2 linked regions of the Canis lupus familiaris genome follow. The protein of the gene in region 1 purifies or fractionates together with the protein of each later gene. This does not show direct contact. Links are inferred from orthologs where the notes say so. Each region holds a gene or a part of one and is shown on either strand. Other genes may lie near its edges.

What was found. The genes of interacting proteins can lie anywhere in the genome.
Region 2: the proteins of HSPA12A (region 1) and AKAP12 purify together in Homo sapiens (affinity purification with mass spectrometry; 3 studies listed by BioGRID and IntAct, with this or other methods). This does not show direct contact. The link is inferred for Canis lupus familiaris from reciprocal best matches to the Homo sapiens genes HSPA12A and AKAP12.

What each region holds. Positions count from the first base shown.
Region 1 is NC_049249.1:27,532,708-27,540,468, reverse strand, and holds part of HSPA12A (heat shock 70 kDa protein 12A), read left to right. Parts: intron 1-702; coding exon 703-961; intron 962-4,055; coding exon 4,056-4,159; intron 4,160-4,702; coding exon 4,703-5,340; 3' UTR 5,341-7,761. UniProt on the Homo sapiens protein: Adapter protein for SORL1, but not SORT1. Delays SORL1 internalization and affects SORL1 subcellular localization.
Region 2 is NC_049222.1:42,116,006-42,124,479, reverse strand, and holds the end of AKAP12 (A-kinase anchor protein 12), read right to left. Parts: coding exon 6,594-8,474; 3' UTR 6,586-6,593; intron 5,916-6,585; 3' UTR 3,180-5,915; downstream 1-3,179. UniProt on the Homo sapiens protein: Anchoring protein that mediates the subcellular compartmentation of protein kinase A (PKA) and protein kinase C (PKC).

The DNA.
Region 1 (7,761 bases):
AAACCAGTCTGTTTTAGATCCTGGCCAAGGGAATTTCTTTCTGAAAGTTCTGGAGGGATCAGATTGTCACCTGATCATATGTCGCCTTTGATTTAGCGCGATGGTTAAGCTTTCAAGGGAGGTCTCAGGACACCTGGTCTTGGATCAAAGTTGTCAAAGCAAGCAACAGGCTCTCTCTTTCAGTGGAGGGTGGGATGTTGAGTAATGAACAGATCACAGGGTCTGGGTGGGCCTACTGATTTTTCCAGACCCTGTCCTTGGATTTCTTGGGTGGGGAATACTATGATGCTCCTACATATTACACATATCCATTTTATTTAAAATGAAAGTGATGATATGGGGCCCCTGGCTGGCTCAGTCCATGCAGCATGCAACTCTCCATCTTGAGGTTGTGAGTTCAAGCCCCACGTTGGGTGTAGAGATTACTTTAAAATCTTAAAAAAAAAAAAAGAATGTAATGGATTTTAAACAGCTAGTTGACAGGTGATTCTGTAGGAGAAAGTATCTCCACCTGGGAGGAGAAGAACTGAAGGATTTTAAAGTGTTAGTAAAAATTTATAGCCACAGTCAGCTTGCTAACTGGGTCTAAGCTGAGCTACTCCATATTTCAGGGAAGAACAGCAGGTACGCTGTTCCTCAGAGTTTGGATTCAGTTTCTGGCAGTTTTTAACATGGTGGACTCCCATTTTGTTCTTGACCCAGGTGGACCCTACGGATCCTTAGGAGTAGATTATGAATTTGAAAAACTTCTGTGTAAAATATTTGGAGAGGATTTTATCGAACAATTCAAAATCAAGCGTCCTGCAGCCTGGGTTGACTTAATGATTGCATTTGAGTCTCGTAAAAGGGCAGCTGCTCCGGACCGAACTAACCCACTGAACATCACCCTGCCCTTCTCCTTCATTGACTACTACAAGAAGTTCCGTGGACACAGTGTGGAGCATGCCTTGAGGAAGAGCAAGTGAGTTGGACTCACCAGGGGCTTAGGCCATTCTAGAGGGTGGCTCATGTTGATGGGAGGGAAGAAAGGGGTGAGGACTCTGAGTTCCAATCCTATGTAAGTGCTTGGGCAAGTGACTCAACTTCTCTGTTTCTCAGTTTTTCATCTAGAAAACAAAGATGATGGTTCCACCTACCTCAAACGGTTGTCATGAGGATGAAGTGAATTCATATGTGAGGCACTTAGCACAATGCCTTGGACCTGGAAAGTACTATTTTTGTGTTAGCTTTTATTATGTGCTAATAATTATAAGCTTTATGAAAGCAGGGAATTTTGTGTGTTTTGGCCTCTGCTATATCCTCCGTATCTACAATAGAATCTGGTGTGGACATAGCAGGTGCTCAGTAAATATTTGTTGAATGAATCCTGTGGGATCCTGGGTTTCCTGCTACTCTGAGTCTCTTGGCTGCAGGCAAGTGTTTGTAGTTCAGCTTGTTGCAAAATGAACATTTGGAAGCTATTTTAAAGCTGAAGTACAAAATTAATAGACAAAAATCATAGGTTTCTAAAAATCTTTTTTATAGTGGAAAATTTCAAACATTTACTGGGCAAATGAATCTCATTATTCAGCTTCAACAACTGTCAGTTCCTGGCCAATCTAAATCCTCATGTACCCTTCCCCAAGCATTTTAAAGCAAATCTGATCATCATCTAATCCATAAATATAACAGTGTATCTCTAAGGGAGATAATTTGAAAATCAAAACCATGACACTTATTCCTATCACACTTAAAACAATTCTTCAGTATCCTTCAAATATACCCAGGGAACATTCAAATTTTTCCTATCGTCTTATTTTTTTTCAGTTTGCATTACTATCTAAAAGATGGCTATTCATAGCAATGCTCTGGCATGCCTCTACGTCCCACTTAACATATAGGATCACCCTCCTGTTTTTTCTTTAGTTTATTAGATGATAAAGCTGATTGTCCCATAGAGACTTCTATAGGCTGGGGTTTTTGCTCATTGCATGCCCACATAACATGTTTGGTCCCCTGGTATTTTTTATAAATTGTCAGACTGAGCTAGAGATTTGGTCAGATGCAAGTTTGAGTTTTTGGCAAACCTACTTCGTGGCGGGGGCAGGGGATAGTATTTCCCTTTGCATCACATCAGGGAGCACATGCTATTTGCTGGTTGCTTCTTTTGGGATGCTAGCTAGCCATTGTTGCCTAGGCCCACCAAGCTAATGGGTGGCCTCTTCGTCTCTCACTCCTCCTGCATCTGTTAGCTAGCATGCTTCTGGAGAGAGAAACTCTTCTCCTAAGTGGTTTGGTTGCCCACTGAAGTACAGTTCATATAGAGAAGACAGGACAAATGCTTGGTTCTTTCCTTTCATTTAAACATTTTTTGTTAAAAAACAACAACAACAAAAAAAAAATTGTGGAATTCCTAGCATTCTCCTAAGTGACAAATGCTTTTTTTCCTTTTGTGGGGATACCTTTCAGACTTCATGGATTTAGGCATATTTGGTGTATTTTAAACCATGGCAGTTGTATCCTTATTGATCATCACAATGTCCCGTCTTGGCCAGGAGGAGCTTCTTCAAATTGGCTCCTGAGTCCCATTGATACGATATTGTGGTCTGACTTCTGGTTTGAGAAGATGCTCCTGGCTCATCTTGTATGCTCCCCATCCCAGACCTGCAATCGGCCAGTTCTCTAAGAAGCCGGGCTCTGGGGATCCCTGGGTGGCGCAGCGGTTTAGCGCCTGCCTTTGGCCCAGGGCGCGATCCTGGAGACCTGGGATCGAATCCCACGTCGGGCTTCCGGTGCATGGAGCCTGCCTGCTTCTCCCTCTGCCTGTGTCTCTGCCTCTCTCTCTCTCTCTCTCTCTCTGATGTGACTATCATAAATAAATAAAAATTAAAAAAAAAAAAAAAAAAAAAAAGAAGCCGGGCTCTGTTTAGCAGGAAATAAAGGAGATAGGATATTGGGTCTTCTTGCCCTTGGAGCAGGGTCCTGGCTGGACTCTTATGAGACTCTAGGCTCATGGTCTCTCTGTCCACTGGCCTCCCATGGAGGTGCTTGCTCCCAGCTGAACCCCAAATCCTGCTCACACAGTCTGGGGCCTGTCAGCATTCCTTCTGGGGGGACTGGCTACAGCCAACCCATGGATCATCCCATACCATCCCACATTGTCCTTTGGCCGAGGCCACAGAAAGACTGCCTGGTCAGGGAGACCTGGAAGCATCTAGAAGGTGATGCTAGGAAGCAGCTGGCACATGCTTTGCTTCAAGGACAGATGCCATTTGTTTGGTCTTTGAACTTGAGAATGAGCGGGTACAGGCTGCAATAATAGTCCCTGGCATTTCCAAAGTGTTTTCACAAATGTGGTATTTAACTTCATCTTCACAACAACCCCAATGAGGGAGGTAAGACAAGTTGTATTATCTTTGATTTCCAGATAAGAGACTGGGGCTCAGAGAAATTGCAGCTCAACTTTCCCAAAAGTTCCACAGGTTCTGAGGGACAGAGACCATCCTGGGGCCGGGCACTCCTGACTCCCCATCTAGTGCTCTTTCTGTTCCATGCTGTTGCTTTGCATGTTCTGTACCTTTGACAGAGAAAGGGACATCCTAGTTGGATTAGGCCTGTCACTGTCATGGGACGGGTGCCCACAGGGCTTACGAAAAGGCACCTGAGCACACAGGCTTGTAGCCATAGGCCACAGCACAGTGGACACATCATATGAGCATTTAATGGACTCATTAATGGACTCAAATCTGACTATCACTCGACTAAAAAATGTGGACATTCAAACCAGAAAGATCCCTTTAATTCTCACCCTATATTTTGCACTAGACTTTGGCTTCTGCCATTCCAAGGGAAGGTTGGCCACAGCACAAAGCAAAGAGAAACAGAAGAGGCTGTGTCTTGGCTTTTGAGTGTCTAAGGGTCCAGGTTCTGGCAGTTGAGGATATTTCCAGGGACTTTCAAACCCTTCTGTTCCTTCGATGTGACAGCTGTTCTGCTAGCACCCATGTCTGTACACATTAGCCTGAGTATCATTCACACACTCACTACCTGTTTCTCTCCATGCCACACCCCCACAGTGTGGATTTTGTGAAGTGGTCCTCACAAGGGATGCTGAGGATGAGTCCAGATGCCATGAATGCCCTTTTTAAGCCAACCATTGACAGCATCATTGAGCATCTTCGTAAGTATCAGCCAGGGCTCAGCCACTCAGTAGGGCAGAGCCAAGAAAGGGGACCGACTTTTCTAGCATCACTAGCTGGTGCATGGGGACCCACAGTAAACTCACTGGGCACCTTTTGCAGTATCCAGGCCCCCCATCCACATCCCACCCCACACCTCCCACATCAGAACCCCTTTGAAAACTAAAGAACAGTTTTGAGAACAGCCTGCCTTTACTGATTTAACAGGACCACAGGCTTGGAGAAGGTTAGGACTATTCATTTATGCCTAACAAATTACTAGTGAAAACCATCACCATCTAGCTATAAAAATGAGTTCTACTGACCAAGAGCTTTGGTGTTCACTTCTTGCGCATATTAGTGTGCAAAACCTTCTCTTTCAAAGACCAGCTGTACAAAAATTCTGTCCAACCAGCATAGCCACATCTGCCCCCGCAGCGGGCCCAAGTGGTTTGGTCCGTGTTCCCCACGCTCTTGGGCCACCAGTCTCCCTTGGTGGTGTGGCTTTTGGTGACAGCATATTGTCCCTTACTCTTTGTTTTCAGGGGATCTGTTTCAGAAGCCCGAGGTGTCCACTGTCAAGTTCCTCTTCCTGGTGGGAGGCTTTGCAGAGGCGCCCCTCCTGCAGCAGGCAGTTCAGGCCGCCTTTGGTGACAAGTGCCGCATCATCATCCCCCAGGACGTGGGCCTCACTATCCTCAAGGGCGCGGTCCTCTTCGGCCTGGACCCCGCGGTCATCAAGGTGCGCCGATCACCGCTCACCTACGGGGTGGGCGTGCTGAACCGCTACGTGGAGGGCAAGCATCCTCCTGAGAAGCTTCTGGTGAAGGATGGGACTCGCTGGTGCACCGATGTGTTTGATAAGTTCATTTCTGCCGACCAGTCGGTGGCCCTGGGGGAGCTGGTGAAGCGTAGCTACACCCCGGCCAAGCCTTCCCAGCTGGTCATCGTCATCAACATATACAGCTCCGAGTGCGACGACGTGAGCTTCATCACCGACCCGGGGGTGAAGAAGTGTGGCACGCTCCGCCTGGATCTCACAGGGACCAGCGGCACGGCCGTGCCCGCCCGGAGGGAGATCCAGACCCTCATGCAGTTTGGGGACACAGAGATCAAGGCCACGGCCGTCGATATAGCCACCGCGAAGAGTGTCAAGGTTGGGATTGACTTCTTAAATTACTAACCGGCCCGCCCCGCCGCCTGCCCCCTTGGACTAAGCTCACCTGCATCTGCGGACCTCCCCCCTACCCCTTGACTGTCCTTTCCCCCTTGTCCTTGACCCTCAGCATTGCTCACCTGAATTTCAGCAGGGAAGATGGGAACAACTAGGGCTAGAAATAATTAGGGATTTTCGAGGGCACACTGGAGTCAGAAAAACTGTTGGAAATTGAGGTTGAGGTTTGGGGATGAGAAAGCTGAGGATCCTGGAAGAGCAGCTAGTTTTCACAGGTACAGAGTGGTGAAACACACCCACCCGCACAAGGGAATCAGTCTGTTTCTGCAGCAGTGATTCAGCCTCATTTGCACGGATCTCCCGTTAGGTAGAACGTAGGAGGCCCTATTGCTATCTTTCTAGATTTGAAATGAGATCTTTGAGCCAAGAGGAGATTCTTCATCTATTTGAGACTTTTCTTTTTTACATTTTGTGGATGGCAGTCGACCCAGAATGCTGTCCATCTGCAGTTAATTGCTTTTCATCATCATGTGATTAAAAGCGATGATTCACGAAACTGGGAGCATTTTCAGCTGGTGGGAGAGGACTGGCCCTGCTGGGCACTATTTTAGGGTCTCATCATTTCAATTCTGAATAGGTTCAGGGAGGAGTAACCATAGCCTGAGCTAATCTACTAGGATTTGAGTGAGTGGGAGAGCTGACACCTTAGCTTTTCGGCAGCGAAAGCTTGCTTCGAGGGAAATGGATAGTCAGGCACTGCTGATTTATACCAAATCATATGCTGTGTGGCATCTTTCCCCAGATGCTAGATTCTGATTTCTGAATTCATAAATAATTCAAGCCAAGTTTAGTGGGCTTCTGCGTGAGGAAATGGGCTTGCGGTTTGCCTTGTTCACATCAGCAAGCCCAGGAGTCTGAAACAGCCCCTCACCCTGACAAGGGTACGTAACTTAACTCCCTCCTCATCCTCATCTCTCAGAGAGTTTTGGCCAGCACTCCCACATTTCAAAAAGAATACATTGGTTACACATGGATAGAGAATCTGTACGATGAAATGTTTCATTAAAATCTTCCGTTTTTAAAGCGTATCTGAAAGGAATTCATAGATCTGTACTCAATGAGTTAAGCCAGGTCTTCTCAAAGCTGATCTGTGGATCCCTCTCGTCAGCACTGCCTGGGTACCTCTTAAAAACAGGTTTCTGGATGCTGTCCCTCTTAAAAATTGAAGCTGAGTCTCGGGGAGGGCGACCAGCATTTGCATTTTCAGTAGACACCACAGAGGACTGTGGCTCCGAGGGAATCTGAGAACTAACTTTAGGTTTTGTTGGAAGCTGAGGCACAGACCAGCGACCAGCGCCTGCAGTCTTCCTGTTTGGGGCTCCCTTAGGGAGAGGATTTTTCTAGCGAAGAGCCAGAGTCCCACACCCTACCCTCAGCGAGTGGGGCTGGGGCTCCACCTGGCTTGGGGACATGGCCTGTGAAGGAGACAAGTTGGAAGAAAGACACCCCGGTAAGAATGAGGTGAGGAACCAACTGGTGTGTCTGCTGGAACTCATTTCGATTTTAAAGATTTTAAATCCCTGGAGGCATGCATAATGAATGAAGGGAAGATGAGCTAAGGAGCTAACTTCAGGGCAAGCTGGATTCACAAACCCATTCCCATAGCCAGATATGCAGATTCGAAAAAGCATTTCCAGTTTCATTTGCACATGTCTTTTCACACCGCCTGCTGCAGAATTCCCTGCTCGAATGTGAAACACAAACAAACCCCTGACCCAGAGAATGCTAGAACGCTAGTCACGTTAACTTTGCCGCAGGATTGCGTGTCCAGGCACAAAGGTGTGCTTGCTAGGGTTCTGGTTCTCTTGCCTGCTCTGCTTCAAAAGCTATAAATGTTCTTGGATCTCTCTTTGGTGTTGCCAGCCATATTCTGCAAATAAGACTTCTCAACTTAGTTATAAGTAATATAATTTTATGTACATACGATATTAGAATATTGTACAGAATCTTTATTTCTACAATGTGCTGCTTTACTTGTTAAACAACAACAACAACGAAGGGAAAACGCACTTTGAATTTTGTTGATGACATTGTTGCCTTTGATTTCCCATGGCTTCATTTTTTAATTGCGCTTACTTACCTATTTGTACTGATACTAAGCTTACGGACTATGTATGCGAGGCTGAGCAAGAGTCAGAGGTGCCCAGGCTCCCCATACTCTGGAAAAAAAATGGGACAACACCTGGATCGCCAGCTTCGTCAGACCTTGCTTCACTCACACCCTTCCCAAAGGCTCACAGTTTATATTGAAGGGAGTGTAATCATGTGTCGGTTCTCCTGTCCCGTCTTTGAGAGCTGAACATCCTGGCTATTCTGTAAGCCACGTGACTGTGCAGGAAAACTCTTTGTGGCCCTGCAGGGCTGTCAGCT
Region 2 (8,474 bases), on another chromosome or scaffold:
GAGGCAATTAACTTAAATCCGTTCTACCGCCTAATATAATTGCAGTGATCCTGAAACAAGCACATCAGAATCTCCTAGAGGACTTGATTTAACAAGACTTTCAGCCTGGCAGAGTGTCTGATTCAGTCCCAAGACTTTTTCATCAGTCTGGAGTCAGGCCCAAGAATTTGCATTTCTAACAGATTGTCAAATGAGATGATGATGATACCAGGAGCCACATATTTTTTAAAGATTTTTTTTTATTTATTTGAGAGAGCATGAGCAGGGGGGAGAGGAAGAAACAGACTCCCCGCTGAGCAGGGAACCCAATGCAAGGCCCCATCCCAGGACCTTGGGATCATGACCCAAGCTGAAGGCAGACCCTTAACCAACTGAGCCACCCAGGCACCCTCAGGAGCCACGTTTTGAGAACCACAGCAATACTGTATTATTTCTACTCTATTACTGTCCTTTCTTAGTTCTACTTGCTTCTCAGAAATGCGATGACCAGGAGAGCTCATAAGGGTCAGACAGGGACCTGTGACATTTCTAGCATTCTTCTTTGAAGCAAAGTGCTCCCTAATGAGATATGTGCACCGTACACATTGGTACAGGAGCTCTTAGAAGAAAGAAGTGAGCTTCATTCTAAACCTCTCTCTTCTTATTCGAAATGGCCCTACAACCTGTGAGCATAGAAAGGAATGAAGCCAAAGTAAACAAATATCCTAAGTAGTTTTGGGGGAGGCCACTTCGCTTCCTCCTTTGTTAAAGAGGCAGGGATTCCGATGAGGCAACAAAATGGCATTAGGTAGTTGGCTAAAGCCACACAACCACCTAGCTGTAGGTACACAGCCCCCATTTCCTCAGCCAGGGCCCTCCTGCTACCATCACACTACCTGGGAAATGCTTCCAAGCTGTTAGTAGTTTCAATGTATTTCTATAATTTTTTGTCAGCAAAAGAAATGGAACTAAAGAATCATCTTTGCAGTTAGGTAGTGATGCCTATAAGCAGATAAGGGTGGGAGAGAACCAGGAGCCTGCATGATACAGTGTCTGGGGGAACCATGGAGAGCCCAGGACACTATGAGTTCAAGATCCCTCCCACAGACCCTCCACCCCATGTAGCATGTGTGGCCTAAGTCTTCCTGGGGAAAGGCACAGCGGGCCACAGAAGCTGAAAATGCAGAAGGGAGGAAAGAAAAGAAATGCAGATGACACCCAAGTGGATGTTTCATGTCTAAAACAGAGCATGTCTGAATAAGATGTATATATTCATAACATTGTAGAAAGATCAGTGTCTTTATTCTGAGTTTATCAAAATCTTCAAGGAGACAGCCATCATTAGCAGTCACGATGTTGCCTCTGGTGGACAGTCTTATTAAAATTTCTCTTCTAGGGATCACTGGGTGGCTCAGCAGTTTAGCACCTGCCTTTGGCCTGGGGTGTGATCCTGGAGACCCGGGATGGAGTCCCATGTTGGGCTCCCTGCATGGAGCCTGCTTCTCCCCCACCTCTGTCTCTGCCTCTCTCATGGATATTTTTTCAAAAATTTCTCTTCTAATGACTAATATGAATGCATCACGATGCATTTTGCTTTCTAGTTTCTAAAAGCACATTCGCAACAGGAAAGACTCGTGAAGCATGTAGTTCTATGTTCTGAAATGACTCTGCTGTGACAAGTAACTAAAGCCTCGTCTCGCTCAGTCACCCAACCAAAGTTTGTGTTGAGCTTTTAAGACACATTGCAGGATCCGTGTAGGTTATTTCCCCCTCTGGGTCTCCAAGGACAGAGAACAGAAGAGCCATTGCTGTCTCATTGTTCTCAACTCTTTTGACACATATCCAGCTACCAATCCTGCTTTTGCCCTTCGATAACTCATTGACCTCACTGAACATTGCCCAAACTAACCACTGTCTCCTGGCCCCCGCCTAGGTCAGGGTTTGGCTCCATATGCAGGCTGGTAACCCAGAAGCTTCCTCCTTCAACCCACTGAGTTCCCATGACAGATAATAAGGCGTCGCCCTGTTGATTCTACCTCCCATTCTCTTGAGCTCACGCAAGGCTTGGCAGCCAAATGGCCATGACTTTAATATCACGTGTTACAGTGAAGCTGCTTTTTTAAGGTTTGAGAGAGTGTACACGAGCAAGGTGGGGAGCAGAAGGAGAGGGAGAAGCAGACTCCCTGCTGAGCAGGGAGCCTGACTTGGGGCTCCTGAGATCATGACCTGAGCCGAAGGCAGATGCTTAACCGACTGAGCCCTCCAGGTGCCCCTGAAGCTGCTCTTACGAGGTTAATGTAATACTTCTTGTGTTAGAATTTTTAATGTCAACAAGCAATGGAAGCATATGCAGAGTTATGAGATCACTCACTCATAACTGGAGGTATGGCACTGTCACAATGTCTTTTATAGTTAGATATCAAAAAAGTAGGGTTGATTTCTAAGCCAGCATCAAAAGAAGTCATGACTATCTTCACCACCATGCCATCCCAAGTCCTGGTCACCTTAGCCAAAACCATAAAGGTTAAAAAGAACAATAGCAACAAAAAACCTTAAGTGACTTAAAAGCTGGTGATCTAAACCTCAGCTTTCTCCTGTGGGTTAAGACCAGATCCCCAGCTCACTTCCAGTGACACAGGCTGGCGATGGTAAGGAATTTAGCGGGGAGGAGAAATCTGCGTTTACACAAGACTGTGCCAGGATGTCTAACAAATCCAATCCCAGAATCAAATTAGAAATGAATAGGCAGGTAGACTTGAAGTTACAGACACCGGTTGGGTGCTTGGTTCCCATCCTCTCACCACCTGGAGCCCTTGGGGGTGGGGCCCATTTCCTTTATGGTAGAGTTGGGGAAGGGGTTTCTAACTCTGGTTCTAGTTACTGGTTGGGATTTCAGGGGAGGTAAGTGGGACTACCCAAAAGCTGTATTTTGGGGAGTTGGAGGTCAGCCAGAGGCTTAATGAGATTCTAACTAAAGGGGCCCTTGGCCCCAAACAGTTATGAATCGCTGATAGCATCTTGTGCATTTACACACATCCCCGATACATTCCAAACTCCCACGATGATTTGTGGAAAATGTTGCAAAGGACGGGTAAGTAATTAAAAGTAGAAGTTAAATTGTGTGATGAGTATCAGGACAGTATTGAGAAAAGCAATCAAAATTGAATTAAGGTGAAATTACAGAAAGAAAATCCATGGTATTTAATTGCATTGCATTTTATTTAGATAAATGAAAATTCACCCCCAAACAGAACTAGGAATCAAATATTGTCTCAGATTAAAAAGAAATGGCTAGGCTTGAAGCTTACTGAAAGCTAAAATTTCCAGCCCTTGACTATTTGTAGCTCCAAACACCAAAGTAAAATATTGGAACACAGTATTTGTAACAGAGAGAGGCAACTTATGTGTACCATTAGCAAAATAACCTGAGGGGGAGCATTTGGTATTCCTCGATTACAAGAAGAGGTGAGAAGTTTACAAGTCTTGCATTGCTTTCTATTGTACATGGCTCTACAGTAATGCCAAAAATAGCAAAATATAGGCACTTGTTCGAACTTTTGCAGTTTACACTTGGCTATTATGTATTAACAGCAGCTTTAGAATTATACTACAGTATTCTATTTCATGCTACTGTTAATTGCATTCCTCTGGTTAATAAAAGTTGCTCAACAGACATTGGTATAGAGCTCGTACAGAAGGAACCCAGGGCACATCCAGGTAGGAGTATGAAAAGCACAGTCACGAAGCAACGACTGCTGGAAATTCACTTGCAATGGCCAGGATAACTTGGCCACATGTGGTCAGAGAACAGAAAATACAGAGTGGAATGGCAGGATGGGGTTTAAACAAACAAAAAACAAAACACAAAAACAAAAAAAATTTCATCTATCACTTGACTATATGAATCTGTAATCTCTTCAAGGCAAAGCCTCCTTGGGCCATAGAGACGAAGTAGGTGTTTGGACCTGTCAGGAGCCCCTTAGACATTCCTCTCATCTCTACTATCTCCTGGTTGGTCTTCGAAAATTGACACCAGCACTTGGATTAATTTTTAAGTCTCCAGTTGGTAAAAGATACTTAGATCAGGGTTGTGTTTTTTTTTTTTTTAATTTGGGGATTTTAAAGCTTAATAAGCTTGGATGACTGTTACATATGAGAGTAACTCCTAAAGGGTTATTAAACATTTTCCAACTACAAGGCCATACACTGTTATCATGAGATGTCTAATATTGCCATTTTAGTTGTCAGGTTTGTTGATATAACATCAACTACTTTCTGATTTTAACAGCCTATTTTCCTTCTGCTAAACTAGTGTTTCTAGAACATCTAGGATGCTTTAAAATCATTAGCTAGCAGGTGAAATTTGGGTTTGCTCACCAGAGTTCTACGTTTCAGTGCAATTTAAGAAACCTTTCTTTATGTGCCACGCCATTTCTACATGTGAAAAAGTGGAACTCTATAGAGTACACAGGCGACTGTGGCAATTTGACAAAACTTTTTACATCTTAGCATGAATCATAAATCATTGACATTTTAAAAAAATTCTAAAAGCACCTGTTAGGTAAGGCATTTTTATCATTAAGCCTTCTTAAGATTTCTTTCTAGACATCTTTCATTGTTTAAGACCGAAACTAATAAAAGAAAATTGACCTTTTCAGGAAGACGCACCACCAGATGGTGGCACTGTGTCAGTACTGTCAGTCTCAAAGCCCTTGGTTTATTTTAGCTGATGCCTCTCTGCTAGGAGTTCCTCGGCACATGACCTCAAACTGGTATCAAGTGGTGACATCATGTGGCAACTACACCAGAAACTTCTACTTTACCTGCTTTTAGCACTCAGGAGACACGCCCCAGGCTTCCTAGTATCTAATAAAACCAGCAAATCTAAGTGAAGCAAATATTTTATTTAAATCAGTTGTCAAATCACAGTTTATCCAAATGAACATAATGCAACATTGTCCTTAAAAGAGTGGGCACAAATATGGCACAGATACAATCCAGTACCTATCAAAATACCATTTGTCAAGAACCTGACTGACTTCATGCTGCGTGTGAGTGTGGTCCAGCATAGAAGAGTAGAATCAAAAACTTAAAAAACAGCCAAATTGTTTTCTTGATAAGATGAAAAACATTTCTCACTGCTTTGCCTCAGGATTTAAGCACACTCATCTGTCCAAACCACCACAATCCAGAGAAAAGGCTTAAAAGTTAATCTGCTACTGAAAAAAACTCCCTTCCAACCCCCACTGAGCTAGAAAGAAAAATTTCACAGTAACAATGGAACATTCTGTATGTTCCCCCCCAAAAAAAGCTTATTTTTAGCACACTGTGCATAATAGGAGAGTGACCAATTTTAGAGCGATATGAAACACAGACCTACTCCTTAGTGGATTTTAAAGTACAAACTATAGCTTCTGATCAGGAATGTTGTCTCCAGGAAGCTGTTTTCACAGGTTACAGCTGAGGCTTAGAGCTTCCCAAGGCTTGACCACGGCTGCATGCCCCCGCCACGTGCTGTGTGATACAAAACTGCACATTTCCTTAATTGTTAAGAAAAAAAAAATATACAATAGATACAGGAAGGGTTACTTAAAACATACATATAAATACATAAAGGATGATACTCCAGTTTGAGAAGCAGAACTAGGTTTGGCCAACTCCAGTTCCAGGTTAAGAATTTAGGACCTTAAATCAGAAACATTATAATAAGGGTATCAAGGGAAAGTAATGGGGTGGCCCTGCGAAGAGGAAACGTTAAATGGCTCTAGCTCCCGATGCAGCCTCAGGGTTGTCAGGGTGCTCCAGAAAGGAGGTCAGTCGAGGGGCCTGTTCTTCGGTTCTGAGTCTGAAACACTGGTCTCGAGTCTCGTCAGCAGCGTCCATTTCCTCCTACCACTCGTCTTCACATTCCGGTCTTGCAGACACTCAGGGTGGACCTGTAGGAGGAAGCAAGAATCAAAATTTGATCAAGTCTCCTCTCCTCTTCGTTCACTCCAGGAGCAGCAGAAGCCCTGACAGAGGAGTGCAGCCCCTGGGAAAGTGAGTGGGTCAGGGCCCACGGCAGGTCAGGCTGGGCGCTCCCCAAACCCGCAGCTGTGGCTCCCCAGCACCAACATCCAGGCGCATCACACGCACTGGGAAATTTTTAAATGCTTGTTACTGCTGATGGGGGGATAATTTTTTTTTCTAGAGAGCTATCAACTAAAATTTCAAGCTGTAGGATATAAACTTATGTTGGACTTCTGGTTATAGGGAAAAATTCAATAAACTGGTTAGTCTGGTGCTGGGAACACAACATATTTCTTATGCCTTCGAGCCAAACATACAAATGCACACACACGCACATACATACACACCCCCTGATTTTCCTTGAAAGCAGTCACATAGGGGTGAACCGAGGCCATTATTTTCCTACAGGTAAGACTGAATGGCACGTCGGTGAGAGGGGAACAAAGGAAGGGAGCCTAGATCTCCTTGATTATTATTCAACTCAAGGTTCTGCACAAAGTCATAAGGATTAAACTCCTGCTTCCCTTAGAACGAATGTGCCATCAAATGGCCACAAAGAGGCAAAGACTGCTTTAGGGGGAAAGGAAGCTTGCTTACATGATGCATTAGGATCCTGTGGGTTCTGATTTGGCCGGTTCTCCCTCTTGTTTCTGTGTCTCGTCCCGTGTTTGGGTTTGAATCTCATCTTCTGGCTCGCTGTGGACTTTGGCTTCCTGGAATTCTACTTCCTGGCCACCTTCCTTCTTTTTGCCTGTTGGTCCATCCGTGTCCGGGGCCTCTTGGCTTACGTCTCCTGGGGCCTCAGAATCTTCCAGGGGTGAGCACGAGTGGTGGCTCTCAGGGTCATCAACCTCATCACCTTTTTTATCTTCTTGGGATTCAAAGAGCGACTCCTCTATCCTTCCTTCTGACCCGGCACCATCACAATCTTCTGGGACAGGCTCGGTTCTGGCTGTTTCTTTCTTTTCTTCAGATGGGAGAGCTGCCTCTTCAAGCTGCTGGTCATGGACGCTTGAACTTTCTACCTCGATGGCTGTGATCTTTTCTGGAGCTTCACTCACAGCTTCCGAGGCTTCAGAAACCTCAGAAGGGGTCTGCTCCACGGCGGTTAGTGGGGGTTCTTCTTTGGCGTCAACAGTGTGGGTTCCATCTGGTGCAGAGGCCTGAAGCTCGCCTCCTTCCGTCTCAACGTGCGGCCTGGCCTCCGAGCTGGCCTCCTGGCCGTCCGCCGTCAGCGGCTGAGCCTGGGTCTGGAGGTCCGCGGCTGTTTCTTCCGCGCCTCCTAACTGACCAACAACTGTCTGGATCACATTCTGTACAAGTTTACTACTCTCGGTCTGAAGTTTCGAGAGGTCGTTTTCAGCCTTTAGATCCTCCTCTCTTGCCGGGACTTCCTGGCAAGCAGCCGGCCCGTCCTCTTCCTCTGAGGTCTGTCTCTGGGGGGTGGTTTTCTCTCCTTCCGGGGCAGCGCTCGTGCCTCCGTCAGGCTCAGCTGATGCGGTTCCCGGGGCAGTTCCCGGGGCAGTTCCCGGTCCAGGTTCCGGCCGAGCCTCAGTCCCCGTGGGCACCTCGACCGCCCCTGGCTGGGCCGTCAGGCCTTCATCCTTTGTGGAGGATTCTTCTTCTGGGGCTAAATGTGCGCCCGCAGGTTCCAGGGTCTCACTGGCATCTACACTCTTGACAGCTTCTCCCAAGACCTTCTCCTCCACCACTGCGGCTGTTAGAGGTAACGGTTCAGAGCTCTGCACTTGGACTTCTGTGCATACCGCTGCCTCTTCAACTAGCTGCGGACAACTTTCTTCCCAAATGGTAACCTCCTTTTCCCCGTCGATGACGGCCACCCTAACTGTCTGCACCAGTTCCTTGCTAAGCTCCTCAGAGACGGTCACGGTGGGTTTTTGCTCAAGTTCTTCTTCGGTGGCTTGGGTTGGCTTTGCTTCTATTTCCTCCTTTTCTACTTGAACTACCAGCTCCCTCCCCACCGGGCTGGGAGAGGGTGTACGGCTCTGGACTTCGGTATCATCCTCCTTCTTCTGAAATTCGGGGTCTTCAGTAGCTTCATCTTGAAGGGCAAGGTCACTCGTCTCTTCCTGACTGATGGTTGTTTCAGGGGCCGCTGTCACATCAGGGCCGTCGACGAGAGCTTCGTCTTTGCTTTCCCTATCGGCGAACTGGCCTTCCTCTTCTATCACGTCGGTCTTTGAAAGAGTGGGTACAGCTTCCACCGATACCTCTTTGTCCGTGCGTTCTAGAATCTCTTCCATTTTTGAATGTCCTTTATCTTCTTCTTCGGATGGGAAAGTAGAAGGTGCTGGAGGCCCCTCTTCGGGTGCAGGAACTGCCTCTGCTTCTGTGACCTGGGGCGGTGCGCCCGATGCAACCTCAGGACCTTCGTGCATCCCCGGGATCTGCTCTGGTTGTGTTACATGGAGAGCTTCAAAATCAGCTACTGGGGTGCTCCCGTTGGTCTCGCTGTCTGTGAGGGT